Linked DNA regions of Ovis aries. The protein of the gene in region 1 purifies or fractionates together with the protein of each later gene. This does not show direct contact. Links are inferred from orthologs where the notes say so. Each region holds a gene or a part of one and is shown in the gene's direction. Other genes may lie near its edges.

Region 1 (5,232 bases):
CCACACGCTGTAGTGTGAAGAGCACTGTAGTGAGAAGGTGGAGGGTCAGAAGATGTTTGAGGAACAATGAGAAGGCCATTGTGGAACAAGGAGAAGAGTTTTAAAGAGATAAGAGACCGGAGGGTTCCGTCAAGGAGGGCCTTAACCGATCATTGGAGCACTTGGGCCTTTGCTCTGAGTCAGCTGGTAAGGCATCGGAGAGTTTTGAACAGAGATATAGTAACAAGATCTAGTTTTCATTACTGCTTGAATCAGGGTGATACGGGTTAAGATGGTAAAACATTGGTTTAGATTTTAGGTATATTGGATTGTAGGTGTATAATTACCAAGTATAATATACATTGCTTTGCGAGAATCACGCTACAGGGTTTAAGCAGAGCCCCATGTGTGGCTGTTGAAGTAATTCTGCTTCTAAGAAAGCTGCCAGAATCCCTAGGATGTGTGGGTATATGGCTGCTGGATCAGAGCCTTCCTGTCTGCCTGCTTTTGTCCTTGGCCTCACTGATCATGCTCTCTCTTCTCGCATCATTATTGTTCCAGCTAACACATACTGTGACTGCCCAGAGTGGCAAAAGTTTTAATTGTTCTGTTAATTCTTGATCGGTTGATAGTAGCTACCTATGAGATACTGTATCTGGCTGGGCTTTTGACAGAATGTTGTAATTTCTTAGGCCTTTGACAAGAGGATAGGAGAGGGCCAGGTAAGCTTGCTTATGTATTTATTGGTTCCATTAACCTCCTGAGCTCTAGATTTAACTTTCAGTTCTTAAAAATTATTGGACAGCTTCACGTTTTCTAGGGATCTTAAATTCTACATGGTCTTTGAATCTTCTCCACATTAGAAGGAGAAAATCAGTGATGGTCAATGTATATCAACTAAGCTCTTCAGAATAAATGAGGTGATAATAATTACCATTTATTGAGTTCTTACTGTAGGCTGGAAACTGCTAAGTGCTTTGCATAGATATTACATTCGATTGTGGACCTTCAAGGGGAGAAGAGGGGATATTGATCCTCTTGCATAGAAAGGCTCCAAGCTTGTTTCCCTGTTATCTTTCCTCCAAATAGCTTGTGATAATAGGTTATTTTATTAAAGATCATGTTTAATTAGAGTTCAGTGACTTTTAAAAAACATTTACTGACACTCAGCATGTTTGTATTTGTAGGAGCTGACTAAGGCTTTGGAGCAGAAACCAGATGATGCACAGTATTACTGTCAAAGAGCTTACTGTCACATTCTTCTTGGGAATTACAGTGGTAACTTTCCTTACAAAGTATATTGTCTCCATAAGTAACTTACACACTTTGCCCAAGATACAGTGAATCAAATAAAATAGAGGTTATCTTCCAGGACTTTTAACTTGATCTTTCATGCAAGGTGAAGTAGCCAAAATATGACAAGCATTATGTTGCGCATCACTCATTTAAATTTTACAGTTGTCCATTCTTTCCGCAGTGGGTGTAGAATTTGTAAGATTTCATTTTTGGTTTTGGATGTGCTAATAAAGGATAGCATCACATTTACTAATTTACAGAGCATTTGAATGAATTCTCTTCTATTTTTTATGAAAAAATGTATTCAATATTCTGTAATTTTAATTATTCTGGATAGATAATCTGAGTAGGGAAAAAGTAAATACCTTGAGTCAAACAATGTGAATGATGTTAACGAAATTATCTGGACTTTGTGATACAGAGCTTTATTCATTAGGAAATGAGGTTGAAGATTTGGTCAATAGGAATGTATGAAGGTAATTTTATCTCAGATTAGCTTTTCTTATTTTAAAGTCATTTGTCCATTTCGCTAGCTTGAAAACTTAAAAATTAATTCAAATTTTGTGTGTAGTATTTCTTAGGATCCATAAGTAACTGACCAAAAAACTTTTTCATCTGCAGATGCTGTTGCTGATGCAAAAAAATCGCTTGAACTTAATCCAAATAGTTCCACTGCTCTGCTGAGAAAGGGGTAGGCAGCAACTACTCTTCCTGTGGGGTCAGGACTATATATAGTTAAATGAATTTATTGTAAGTTCCCCCCCCCAAAATATTTATTTTAGTTGGAAGATAATTACTTTACAATATTGTAATGGTTTTTGCCATACATCAGTATGAATCAGTCATAGGTATACATGTGTCCCCTCATCCTGAACTTACCCTCCCTGTGAACTTTATATAAATAGTAAGCTCTGTGTCTATACATTTTATAGCTGAGATAGGATTCAATTTTTGGTATATTTCATACTTCTGTTTTATTAACTGCAGTATGTAATGAGATACAGTTTGTATGTGTGTGTGTAGTTTAAAATAGTGATGATTGAAGTAACTGCAGGGTATAGATGAAACTGAATGATTTCAAATCCCTTTTTTGTGTCATCATTTGAAATTTACTGTGTTTAACTGACTAGAGAACATCTATTTCTCACCTAAGCTGTACAGACTACACTTAAAGATGACTGTGTCTGTGTCCTTTATATCCCAGCTTGTTTCTATTAATAAGTGTAACTTTATTCTAAGAGTCGGAAGCTTCTTTAATTCCTTAGTGTAACTATATTTTGGAATAAGCAAGTATGTATAATTAATAAATTCCTTCTGAAATGAGTTCCACATTTTTAATGGGAATTAGATGTTACCCTGGTGACTCAGATGGTAAAGAATCTGCCTGCAGTGCAGGAGCCTGGGTTCAATCCTTGGGTGAGGAAGATCCCCTGGAGAAGAAAGTAGCAACCCACTCCAGTATTCCTGCTTGCAAATCCCATGAACAGAGGAGCCTGGCGGGCTACAGTTCATGGAGTCACAAAGAGTCAGACACCACTGAGCGACTGACACACACACAGATGTTACAGTAGAGTATTTTAGAACATCTGTTGGCTTATTAACATGGTTAAATTCTTTTAAAAGAAGAGAAACTTTTTTTTTAAGAAAGAAAGCTATGTTTCATGATCTTATATGTATGTGCTTGTTTTTAATATGCTCATACAGGATATGTGAATACCATGAAAAAAACTATGCTGCTGCTCTAGAAACTTTTACAGAAGGACAGAAATTAAATAGTAAGTATTATAATTATGTTAGTAAACTAGTCCATTATATCTGTGTATCTTAAATACCATAGCTGAATCTTGTTAGTATAATCTAAAGTTAATCATAGAAACACTTTTTTCTCTCTTAATGACATTTCATGTTGATTGCAGAGTTTGAGTTTACTTAAAATTTGATTAAATTGGCCTTTCTTAGCATTTAAGTCACAGAAAAACTTAGAAACAAAAGAACTGTTTAAACACTCGGTGTCCTCCCAGTACTGGTCTGGCTTTTTAGTTTTTCCTAATGGACAAGTGGAAGTTTAACTTGCTCTCACATTCTGAAGTCTATTTAAGTTGTTATTCAGATTGCCGAGATAAGGAAGTCTTAGAAGAAAGATTTTTATTGAGAGGTGAAGTGTAAGTTTGGGTAAAGTATGATAGGGTACAGAAGAAACATGGAACTTTGAGAATATTGTGAATTTCTAAACTGTCTTTTTGAGAAAAATAGATGAAAATTATCCCAACAGTGTGGATATCTATGTATAATATATAGAACTTGTTAAAAGCCAAGTATCAAAAAAAATCTTCAAAATACAAAATGTTGTCAGTAATCTCGTAGATAATTATAGACAACATGGTCTTAATTGTGTTCTCTCATTTTATCTCCCTCTTATGACAGAGTGTTAACCACAGTTCTCTAAGGTGGTAGTTCCTAGCTGGGGATGGTTTTCCTCTGTGGGGGATGTTTGGAGTGTCTGCACTGATTTTTGACTCTCTTGACTGGTAGATGGGAGGTATATCATTGATAGCTCGTGAGGGATGCTGTTCAACATCCTGAACAAGACAGTGCCCACAACAGAAGCATCTGGTCCCAGATGTCAGTAGTGCTGAGGTTGAAAACCCTCATACAAAAGTCATACATGATTATACAATAAAATATATACTGCTTTGAATATTTGCTTTTCTGCTGTGTATCTACTTGAGAAGGGTGACAAGCCCAACTTTGCAAACAAAACCTACAAATTAGGAAAGACGAGATCTAGGCAATAGGAGGTACTCTCAAACTTGGTTATCCCAAGCGTGGTATGTGAATAATAGGGCTATTCAGTTACGAAGTTACCATGTATACACTTCGCAAATTCTAGAGTCCAGTTTTCTTGGTGTCTTGTTACATACTTGAAAACCCTGATGAGACATAAGTCACTTCATGTTTAGATTTCTAAGCCCTATTTCTTTTCTTTTTCTTTTTTTTTTTTAAGAGCAACAGAAAGTTCCCTGCCTAAATTCCTTCCTTGATACTTTATTATCATGCCACTGACTTTTATCCTAGAATTATTTCAGAGGTGGCCTCAGAAGAGGGTGTCTGCTCTTTGGTTTACTTTCTGTTGAGGATATTTAATTTAAAATCAAATTCATCTTTTAATTCCAGGAAAATCTTATGTTAAACTGTTCAGCTTCCGTTTTATTAGGGTAAAAAATTTTTAACTCCATATTACCTTTTTCCCTCTTTATATGATAGGAATCAGCTTATTTACTGATTAGTTTGAATAATCGGTTCTTCACATTTAGAATTTTTATATAAATGTTCACCTCTAAAATGTGTGTGTATGTATTTTAAGGCCTGTATAGTTGAATTCTGTCTGTAAATTAATGAATTAGAAAATTTCATTTTAAGAAATTTTAAACTTGGTGTTTTTCAGAATAACGATACCTGCAGTTAGCTTAAATTAGTAAACTTTTATTATGATCACTTCTAATAATTTTTCTTAACATTATAATTTATTAGATGCTATGACTTTTTAGATACTGTCATTGCCCTGAGTCTTCAGAAATAATTTGCTTATGTACATGTTTGCCTTGCTGTCTGTGCAGTGAACTGTGATTCACTGTATGTAGTGTCAGTGGTTGTCAAGGAACTTGGAGATACTTAGAGATACAAAACTCTGCAGAATATAAAGATGGTTCTTGTTGTTGAAGGCATGATGATAAGTAAAGCTGCTGAAGAAATAGTAGATAGGATAAGCAACTGCGTTAGACAGCAGGCAGGTGGACAGAGGCTTCTGGGGTCCTCCCCCAACTGACTGCATATTAGGAATCTGATTCAGGTGTGATTTTGTTGTGAGAGGAAGCTCTTTTAAGAGGAAAGGGATGAGGAGAAATGGAGATTACTGAATCTAGGAACCAATAAGGTTGACTGGTTAAAACTGATTTT
Region 2 (5,332 bases), on another chromosome or scaffold:
CTGCCCCAGCTCGCCCCCCCCTGCGTCCCGCCGCGGGTCCCCACCCGGCCAATCGGGATTCGAGATTCACGCGCCGCGAAAGGGGTGGGATTTTAGGTATTAAAGGAGGGTTGACCGCGCAAAGAATAATAAAGACCACCAGGGGGCGCCTCAGGTCCCAATTTTCCTCCACTTGACTAGGCGCAAGAACCAAGATACTTTCTCCAAAATTTTCTCCTAGTCGTGAGACAGTGGAAATAGGACCAAAGGTTTTTTGGAATCCAGCGGACAAAAGCATAAAAAACAAGCTCATCACTTCACTTTTTTACTCGACAGTTCTTAAATATGTGATTCCATTTTGCAGACGAGAAGCAGCAGTGTCTAGCACATGTAAAAAGCAGTGTCCAGCACAAAACAAGCAGTCTCCTCCTCTTCTCCAACTGCTCTAACCCTCATCGTTATTTCTGACTTGGGGCCCTCAAGTTTAATGCAGTAACCAGCTTGGTCAAGGTCTCTGGAAAAAGTAGCATTCACACCAGAGACAGACAATTGGCAGCCTCACTCCTTACCCCTTGGAAATAATGGAATCTGGGGCTCAGAGAGCCCCAGTTCCTCTCACAGTCCGAAAGGCAACTGTTCCTGAAGTACTCAATCCCTAGACCTCAGGATTCTGAGGACTAAAAAGAAGAGGGCTGAACCTTTAGTTCCCTTTGAGACTTGATACATAGTCTACAAAATGTAGCTAGCTCTGTAGTATTCCGTATAAACCAATTATATATACAAACAATGTACATACATGTGCGTTACTATTTGCCTAGCGAACATCGGTAAAAAAAAAAAAATACTGCTTATTATCAGATTAGCCTAAGAGGCCATGCAATTGTAATGCCTTGGTTTGCTTAACCAATCCCTTACCTTCTTCTAGAGGGCTTTAGGCTCCACCTTGACTTTCCTCGGAGCTCAAGTTCTTTCCCGCCCACACCCCCAGCCACGGTGTTGTACCTTAAGGAAAGCAAACCACAACCCGGGAAGAGGGACATTTTTATCTCCCTTCTGTCCCCTGGTGTGTTTCAGGCAACTATACGAGTGCTCCGAAGGCCGACGTAAATACGGCGGGAGTGAGACTGGGAGGGAAGCGGGCAACCATAGATCAAAGTTTTCCGGTCAGACACTCCCCCATTCCCCACCCAGTGGTCGCCTTGTTGACTACATATCCACTCCCATGACTATGAGTCATAAGATCAGGAGGCTCCGGGATGCTGACCACGGCTCTGGAAACGGGAGAGGGGCCGGGGAGACGGCAGGTCACTGCAGGCCAGCCTACTATCGACGATCTCGCACCAAGTCGCATCAGCTTTAGAGCACGAACACGTGCACCCCTCCAAAGCGAAGCCTCGCGCTCCTGGAGAATCGGCCTCCTGCTCAGCCCCTGATGGTCACGCTGGGAAGAACATAGAGTCCTCCCTCCCAAATGGCTATCTAGTTCTCCCTGGGACCATAAAGACTTCCGGTCTAGAGCGGAGGCCTGGCTAGCCTTCACTCTCCTCGTTGGCTGCTCGTGGTTTCTAGTCCAGGACCGAGTTAAACAAAGAGGCGGAGTTTGGTGACGGGCTTCCGCCGGGTTGCGTAGCAGCGGTGGGCGGGGCAAAGGTTCCGTCCCACACGGCGGAGAGTGGTCGGAACCCTCTCGCGTCTTCTTCCCTTTCCCCTTCCCCTCCCAGAAAAGGCTGGGGACCCGGCACTCGGGCTGTCTCTCGGCCGCTGCGGGTACAGAGTCCAGACCGCTTCCAGGGCGGTGCGTACGGCGCCTGCGCGCGATCCCACTTAAAGGGAGGGTGTGGGAGGGAGGGGGCGATGTCCCAGGGGGATTGAGGCGGGGGTTCGAGATATTGGAGGTCAGGAGAAGGGATGAGAGTAAAGATGAAAAATGGAGGAAGGGAGCAGCAATAGGGAGGAGTCCAGAGGTGATAAAGGGGCGCCGGAGGGTGGGTTGTTGGGGTGATCCATTGGAATGGGGGAGCCTTAAAAAGTGCAGGAGGGGGCCTGGGCTGGCCGGAGGACAGGGAGGAGGGGACTTGAGGGAACAGCGTGGTGTTTAAATAGGCAATGATTGACAGGCCGGGAGCGGAGGGAGGGAACATTCTGAGGGCCAGCCTGGGCAGGGGCCGCGGAACCTGAACCCCCGCCCTCGAAGCGCCATAGCTTGGCTCCTCTCCCATGCCTTGTCTTTGGCAGCCTTGTCTTCCTCCTCCATTCCTTCCCCTCTCTCCCTCCCACCCCTCTATGTAGGAATCTCACATTCCTTACATCCCTGCCCTGGGTTTGCAGCCGGTCCCTCTTCACAGGCTTCACACACCGGAAAGCCTTCTCCAAGCCAGAACGCAGAGGAAATTGAGGACTGGGAAGGAGGGAGCTGGAGAAGGAGCAGAAAGCTGAGAGGGGTGAGAGTGTTTCTCTTGAGGGACTGACAGGCATCTTCATTCAGAAACTGACTTCGTTCCATCTAGTAGCAAATGCAGCTGTTAATGAGACCACTGAACCACTGTTCTTGGGGACTGGACTGTGATAGTCTAATCCCTTCCCGTACAGGTGGTTTTAGTCTGACAATAGAGCAAGAAGCTGATATTGTTGCAGGCTGCTAGTTTTCCCCAGATAGGGATGGTAGGGAATCTGAGTGATGCAATAATGTTACTGCCCTGTGTGTCCAGCCGACTTTGTGGCTGCACCTGGATAGAAAAGAAGAAACAAGCTTCTTTCAAGTATATCCTCATGGACCCTCGGAACTCTAAATTTATTTTGCATTCTATTGCTACAAATACCTCATGGTGTTTGTACTAATAGTGGTATGAATAGTAGTATTCAGTATGCTTTCATATTTATTATGTCATTTGATTTTCCTGGACAATATGTAAGATAGATAAGTCAGTTATCATTTTCCCTGCTTGACAGGTGAAGAAACTGAAAACTGCAGAAGGGATACATGGCTTGTTAAAAGTCGGACAGCTGGCAGAGCAGGGACCAGAATCCAGGTCTCCTGACTCCAGGTGCCCCTTTGTGTTGAAAAACCCTGTTTTGTTCTGGTCAAGAGAGTTGTGAGAGGAGATATTTTTTCCCAGGATGGACAGCTGTTAGCCTGGAACTTGTCTCTAAAAGACTGAACATAGCACTGATTCCTGGAAGCTTTTCTTGGGGTTCAAGGGTGGACACCAGGCTGTTGGGAAATACAGTATTGTCAAAATGGAAGAAGCATTGTACGCTCCTCTGTATTATGGATGGGAGAGACCTATCAACTCCCCGCTACTGCCCCCAACTACAGTGAGGAGAAAGTGGACCTGGCCTGGTACCTTTATCCTCTGATTAGTTTTTAAATACTGCACTAACGTGTTATGGCTGCTGAGCATAGTAAACTAATGAGCCCATGTACCAGACTCCGGATGAGATGGTCTCTGTTTTACGGATAAAAATTGTCATCCTTCCTAACATAGTCCTTAATATTGATCGATGTGAAGGTGAGGAAAGGAATTTGAGTAGTTTCTGTTCTGCCTCTGAAGCTTTGTCTCCCTCTACTTGGTTTCATCCTTTTAGTAATGAGAGTTTGGTCTTCCCAGTTGTCTGTCCTGGAGTAATTTCCTGATTGACTGCCTCTTCATTTTTTTAAAAAAAAGCCTGATCCCTTCAGGAATATTTCCGGACTTGAAAGTAGAATTACACCTACACCAATATTCTCGAGTATCTTCTCCTTGTGAAACAGTATTTTCTGAGTGGACAGTAGGACAGAATTCTTTTTATATGAAATACTTTCTGTGAAAGCACTTTGGAAACACTAAAGCACCATCCTGTGCACGTAAGGCATCATGGCTCTCTGTGTTATGTAGCCACAGCTTTGGATTCGCTGGCATTCCTTGCAGTTGTATGCACTGAATAAAATAATCTTTTCTGTCTCAAACAGCTCCTCTTCCCTGCCTTGCTTCTTGTCCCTTTCTCTCCCCACCTCAGCTGTGTTTGAATCCCTTGGCCCGGGTGTGTGATTCCTTAGCAGATGACCTCACTCCTTACAGAGTAGCCTGTGTGCCTAACCCTGAAACCTGTAGCTCTCAGTGGAGTTGTCTTGTCCTCCTCAACCAACCGTCAGATCCAAGTCTGTCTAGTTTCACTGCCAAGTGCAGGTAGTGCTCCTGACTCACCTTTTTCTTCCTTGTTCCTATTAATAGAGTGCTCCCGATTGTGACATCACATCCATCCCCTTGGCGATGGAGCTTGTTACTAGGAGGGAAGACTCAGTCGGAGAATAGCCAACAAGATGGGTTACTGGGAGCGTCTCCTGAGTGGCACTGAGTGGAGGCATCAGGGGGTCGGAGCCTTGTGAACAGGGAACCTGCCCCCCAACACTTGGAAGGTAAAAAGCATTGATTCAGAACCCCCTTCTGGGCTTCAACCCTCTTCTCTGCTAATCTGGATCCCTTCTGCTCTTGAAAACCTGATTCTCAAAACTCTTTTATGCATAAACTTTTCTGTGATTAACCCACGTCAGTCTTTTCTTCATTGTATACTTATGTCTTACATGAACTATTAACTTTCACTTGTTGATAAATTGTTAAATTTTACTATTTTTTGTATGTTTTATATCTTGTGTGCTCATTGAATTCAAGCCTGCACATTTGTTTGAGGACAAGGATTGTGCTTGCTGTTTCTTTTACATGTCTGTTACATGAAGATGAGATTGGGGTAGCCACACAAATAGTGCTTGGTGCTGATGACCAAGGTGTGTGTGTGGGGGGGTCCTTGCTGATCTTTGAGGCCTGGTGGGCCTCACTCGAGGTGTTAGAGTTGTTAGTTGGGAGTTTTTGAAGGATTGTGTGACCTCTGGATGCTTTTTTATTTATTTATTTTTAAAAAATATTTGTTTATTTGGGTGTGCCGAATCTTAGTTGCAGTATGTGGGATCTAGTTCCCAGACCAGGTATTGAACTCAGGGCCCCTGCATCGGGAGCATGGAGTCTTAGCCACTGGACCACCAAGGAAGTCCCCCTCTGGATTGTCTTTCAAATTTAACCAATTAAAGTGTGCTGAAGAAGCCTGACTTTAAAAATGCCCTGTGCTAAATCTAGTCTGGATCACAGAATTCTGGAATTAAATGGAACCTTAGAGGCAATGAGGAAACTGAGTTCTAAGAGCTCAGTTCTGTAAGAGAGGGAGTGATTTCACTTTAAGGGTTCTATTGCATAGATGAAAAAGACCACTTTCTTTCATTTATAAAGTCAGGAGAGTTGCCTAAAGAGAGCAAGGTCAAAAAGGCCCTCTCATAAAGCCAGGGCACCTTTTATAATATAATTACCCCTAATTTAGCCTATTT
Region 3 (5,326 bases), on another chromosome or scaffold:
AAGATCTCCTGGAGAAGGAAATGGCAACCCACTCCAGTATTCTTGCCTGGAAAACCCCATGGACGGGGGAACCTGGCAGGCTGCCGTCCATGGGGTCGCAGAGAGTCAGACACGACTGATTGAATACACTTTCACTTGACTAGATGGACCTTTGTTAGCAAAGTAATGTCTCTGCTTTTATGCTGTCTAGGTTGGTCATAGCTTTTCTTCCAAGGAGCAAGTGTCTTTTAATTTCATGGCTGCAGTCACCATCTGCAGTGATTTTGGAGACCCCTCAAAATAAAGTCTCTCACTGTTTCCCCATCTATTTGCCATGAAGAGATGGGACCAGCAGCCATGATCTTAGTTTTCTGAATGTTGAGTTTTAAGCCAACTTTTTCACTCTAGCAAATTTACAACTATCCCCAAATAAAAAGTTTGATTAAAAGTAAAAATAACTATAAATGAATTTTTGAAGCAGCAGAATCAGCAGAGAACAGGAGACTATTAAACATGCCCAATAAAATTAGAAATAAGACCAAAATACTCTTGGAAAATAAATATTGTTGAAATTAAGAACTTAAGTGGATGATGTATTGGTTGCCTATTGCTGTTGTAATGAGTTGCCACAAATTTAGTGGCCTAGAGCAACACAGTTTTTATTATGGTTCTGGAGTTCAATAGTCTAAAATGGGTCTCACTGGGCTGAAATCAAAGTGTCAGCAGGACTGTATTCCTTCTGGAGCCCTGCTAGAGAACCCATTTCCTTGTTTTCTGCAGCTTCTAGAAGCCACTCTCAATTTCTTGGCTCATAGCTCCATTCTTCCTCTTCAAAACCAGCAACATCAGAGCCAGTCCTTCTCAAGTTGCTCTCTCTTTTAGCTCTCCTTCTTGGCCTCCCTCTTCCATTTATAAGGACTCCTGTGATTGCATCCAGCCCATACCAATAGACCATGATTAATCTTTCCATCTCAAGGTCAGCTGATTTGCACCCTTAATTCCATCTGCTACTTTAATTCTCCTTTGCCATATTCATAGGTTCCAGGTGTAGGACTTGAACATTATAGGGGGCCTGAAGGGACTATTCCACCTAGTGAAGACCAGTAACACAGCAGATTCAAATAACCACAAAAATAATTGATTAATGGAAAGAACTGAAGAAGTTAACTGAAAGTGCAGCCAGAGAAGCAGGATATAGAAAATGTGAGTATTTAAAAGATATGGAAGATAAAATCCAAAATCCTAGAAGAAAGGACAAATTTTGCAATTTTTCTACCGGAAGTTCATGTAAGGATAAATTTACGTGAAGGAAAATTGGTATCTTTAGCGTCTCTATATTAGGTTTGACAAGTTTGCACGTCTCCCACCAGTGTTACCTTTGCAAAGTTTCACTTTTGAGTTATGAACAAACTTCTCAGAAGGCAGCCTTTTTTGGAAATCTAAATATTCATGAGCATATGGGGTTACATGATTGAATGTATTTTATTCAGTGTGAAACTCATTTATAGCATCGTTACGCCTTATGTAGACCTTCTCCATTTACAATGTTTTAAAAAACACATCTTACTGGGAAATGTATTAGCTAGCATGTTACAAACTCCCTGACAGGTCATCACAGTGTTAACAGTATACAATGTACACCGCCAAGAAGAGATTTAAGGGCAGGAAGAAAACCTTAGATTTTTTAAAAGTCCATATCGAAGTATATGCTCTGTCGTAAAGGTTTGATTGTTTGGAGCTGCTTTTCATCCGGGAGCAAGTGTCACGTGTTAACAGGAGTTTCACGCGGGAGCGCGTGTTCTAACAGGCGTTTCCACCGTCGTGCTTTGAAGCAGCTGCCTCTGGTTGCGGACTCCGGGCTAGCACTTCTAGCGGGACAGGCCTGAGCTCGCAGCGGAAGGGACCGAGCTGGCACCACCAGTAGGCGCTGGGTCACCTCTGGCGAGCTCTCAGGCCTACCCGCGCAGTGGCCTGGCCACTCTGCTGGGGCAGGGACTGCCCCTCCAGGCTGCCCAGGGCCACCTTCTGCGCGCAGCCGCTCCGGGCCGCCCGCGTCCGCCTCGCTCGCCTCGGCCTTTTCGCGCAGGCCGCGGAGGTTCGGGGCGCGGCCGTCGTTACGGCCGTGACAGTTCGCGTTCCCGCCCGCGCGGCGGCTGTTCCTTCCCTGCAGCGGGTGAAGTTGCCGCGCCGCGCGCTCCGGGGTCGGCGCTCCCCAACCTCCGAGTTCCCGCCCGCGCGCTCCCGGCGCACCCGACTCCAGCTCTGGCTCCCCAGTACCGCGAGGTCTCCACACCTGGCTACCAAGTAAGTCCCAGCGCCAGGGGGTGGGTCGCTCGGGGCACACGTTTTCTGGGGGTCCTGGGCGCCGCGGCGGAGGAGGCGGCGCGGAGAGGCGGCGTCCTGCGAGCGGGAGGAATTCAAAGCTGCGCTGGAAGAGCTCCGGGTGGATCAAGGAGGAGAAGAAACCCGGTGTTTGTGGAACCACGAAAGTTCAGGGGGGTGAACTTCAGCGTTAGGGGAATCGTTTATCCCATGGTGGTCCAGACAGAGCATCTCAGTCCTGCCTGCACTGTAGAATCACCTGGGGTGCTTGTAAAATTCAGATGCCCAGGCTGGATCCATCAGAACCCCTGGGGCAGTGGAGGGGGTGGGGGTCTGTATCGTTTACACTTCTCAGCTGATTCCACTGTGTGGGCAGAGTTGAGCACCAACGACCAGAGTGGTTGCCAAGAGAGGGTGGAAAGGCGGGCAGGGGCTTTGATAAGAGTCCAGCCTGCGACAGATCCGGCTGTACCCAGTGTCCCGCGTGGCCCTGGGGAAGGGGCAGTGGCCCTCCCTCTGGTTTCCCGAGACGCAGAGAGGGGAAGTGAGACAAGACTTGGCAGCTTCGCCGGAATACTGCCTGAGCTATGCACACAGTCTTTTGGCATATTGTGAAACACAGAAGCTTTGCCAGATCATGATGCCTCGCTGGTTCTGCTTTCTGGGAAATGCCTCTGTTACTGTCATTTAAAGTTAAATGAAGGGAAGCCAGTAAACCCGTTGACAGCTTCTGGGATTTCTGCTTTAAGGGTGAAGTTAGGTGTGCTTCGGAGAAGGCAATGGCACCCCACTCCAGTACTCTTGCCTGGAGAATCCCATGGACAGAGGAGCCTGGTAGGCTGCAGTCCATGGGGTCGCTGAGAGTCGGACACGTCTGAGCGACTTGAATTTCACTTTTCACTTTTCACTTTCATGAATTGGAGAAGGAAATGGCAGCCCACCCCAGTGTTCTTGCCTGGAGAATCCCAGGGACGGGGGAGCCTGGTGGGCTGGCGTCTGTGGGGTCGCACAGAGTCGGCCACAACTGAAGCGACTTAGCAGCAGCAAGTGCGCTTGCTGCAGGGTCGGGTTTGTATCTGCTAAAAGCCTCCTATCTGAGACTTCCGTATCCAAGGAACTTGGATATTAGGAGTGCACAAAATTTACCCTCTTAGCACCCAAGGGTATGTGCTGGGGGCAGAAAGCGCTAATATCAGCAACCAGGGCCCCTGGACAAGACACAGATTTCTACTGCATGTGTGGGGCAAATAAGAAAGGTGGATTTGAAATAAACAACAGCCTAGGAGAAGAGAGGGCTTCTAGAGGGTCCAAGAAGAGTGGATTGTGGTTTTGCATAATGAAGAGGTTTAAATTCAAGCTTTGGAGCCCATCAAACCCTGGCCCAAATTCAGATTCTGTCACTTCTGTGATACTTGCATGATCTCCCTGAACCCCTATTTTCTTTCTTGTGAAGTGGGAAAAATAGTAGCTCTGTCCTGAATGAGATAATGTGTATCAAATGCCTGGCAGGCCAGGTTGCTGCTCCATCAGTAGCAGTTATTAGCCACTGTAGTGGTGATTTGTGTTCAACAGTTGTTTACTTAGTACAGCCGCAGTGAAGAGAGTGTGCAGCAGTTGTCTCCCTTGAAACTCCATTCCCTTTTTCTTTTCCTGCCTTGCTCTGGAGAGGGGTTTGTACTCCTCCTCGGTCACTGTGTAGTTTAAGGTCTGGAATTTCAGGCCACCAGCCTGTTGCTCAGTAGGGCTTATTAATGGCTCTGGAATACAGTTTTACTCCACGTGATAGGAATGACAAAGTGGTCCTTAAGTTTGAGACTTCCTCTATTCTACTGCAATATATATATATATATATATATATTTTCACACATGCATATATGTATATACATATATACATATGAGCTCCCCTGTAGCCGGGCCATTTACAGGGTTTCAGAATTGACATGGGCACATACACGTGACTTTTGTGCTGTCAGCATCCTTGGGCTGTGCCCCAGTCGTACCTGTTTTGCTACTAACTCTTGGCCTAGGGACAATGAATCCTTCTTAGATGAACAAGAAGTCAGAAATTTGGGGAAGGGAAAACCTACATCCTGCAGTTGGCAGTGGGGGCATCCTGAATCTTTCACCTTAGTTCCACTGTGTGTGTGGATCTTCTGACAGTAACAGCAGCACTGTTTATTTTAGATTAAACAGTAAAAATACTATAAATAATGATTTAATGTTGATATAAAAATCAAGTGCTTTTACAGCACTGTCCCTGATACTTGCCTAATAAGAATCTTAAATTCTTGTCTCCTTTTATAAAAAAAAGTTCAGTATTTATTCAGTATCTAAGACTTAAATTTAGGATTTGAAGTTTAAATTACCAGTTCCTTCTATGATTCTTCTATTTTGGGGGTTTGAGGCAAGATGAAATTTTAAAAGAGAAGATTTATACTTTTGCTGAATTTTTGTCATCTTTTAGGTATCTTGGAGGTTTCTGAAAGTCCTGTTTTCTTTTATCTTTTGGGCAGAGTCAGTTGAATCTCATACAAAGGGCTTCCTTTCATCCATCTATAGACCAAAGTTAGAAGGAAGGAAGGTTGTTTCAAGAAAAATTCTTTGGTGCGTCATTACTCAGTGACGTGTTTCCCCCGCCCCCCAAACTTGGCTCTCCTAGTAAGAGATGAGTAATCACTGCCCATTTCAATTAATTAATGTTTTTTACCCAGTGCTGGAAAGTTTGTCAAAGCAAGACTTTATGGGTTGAATTCTTCTTGTTGTGTTTTATCTAAAACCCACCACAGACCAAACTGTGGGCAGAGACTTTAATGCAAAGTTGGCCAGGACAAGCTTGCCACCCTCCCTCCCCTTAGTCACCCTCCCTGCCTCTGGAGCTGTTGAGTCTAGGATGCTATTACTCTGTGGTGGTCTTTCCTTGGCCCTCTGAAGGGGCATGATGCCCTAACAAGGGATCTGCTTCTATAGAACCAGCAAGGCAATTTTGTGTTAAACTTCCACTTACAGTGCTCTCTAGTAATCTGTT

The links.
Region 2: the proteins of SUGT1 (region 1) and RNF41 purify together in Homo sapiens (affinity purification with mass spectrometry; 3 studies listed by BioGRID and IntAct, with this or other methods). This does not show direct contact. The link is inferred for Ovis aries from reciprocal best matches to the Homo sapiens genes SUGT1 and RNF41.
Region 3: the proteins of SUGT1 (region 1) and NOD1 purify together in Homo sapiens (affinity purification with western blotting; 3 studies listed by BioGRID and IntAct, with this or other methods). This does not show direct contact. The link is inferred for Ovis aries from reciprocal best matches to the Homo sapiens genes SUGT1 and NOD1.

What each region holds. Positions count from the first base shown.
Region 1 is NC_056063.1:11,515,486-11,520,717, reverse strand, and holds part of SUGT1 (protein SGT1 homolog), read left to right. Parts: intron 1-1,166; coding exon 1,167-1,257; intron 1,258-1,896; coding exon 1,897-1,966; intron 1,967-2,979; coding exon 2,980-3,050; intron 3,051-5,232. UniProt on the Homo sapiens protein: May play a role in ubiquitination and subsequent proteasomal degradation of target proteins.
Region 2 is NC_056056.1:163,320,561-163,325,892, forward strand, and holds the start of RNF41 (E3 ubiquitin-protein ligase NRDP1), read left to right. Parts: upstream 1-1,625; 5' UTR 1,626-1,774; intron 1,775-2,268; exon of another isoform or gene 2,269-2,307; 5' UTR 2,308-2,420; intron 2,421-4,190; 5' UTR 4,191-4,375; intron 4,376-5,332. UniProt on the Homo sapiens protein: Acts as E3 ubiquitin-protein ligase and regulates the degradation of target proteins. Polyubiquitinates MYD88. Negatively regulates MYD88-dependent production of pro-inflammatory cytokines.
Region 3 is NC_056057.1:67,354,148-67,359,473, forward strand, and holds the start of NOD1 (nucleotide-binding oligomerization domain-containing protein 1), read left to right. Parts: upstream 1-1,807; 5' UTR 1,808-2,283; intron 2,284-5,326. UniProt on the Homo sapiens protein: Pattern recognition receptor (PRR) that detects bacterial peptidoglycan fragments and other danger signals and thus participates in both innate and adaptive immune responses.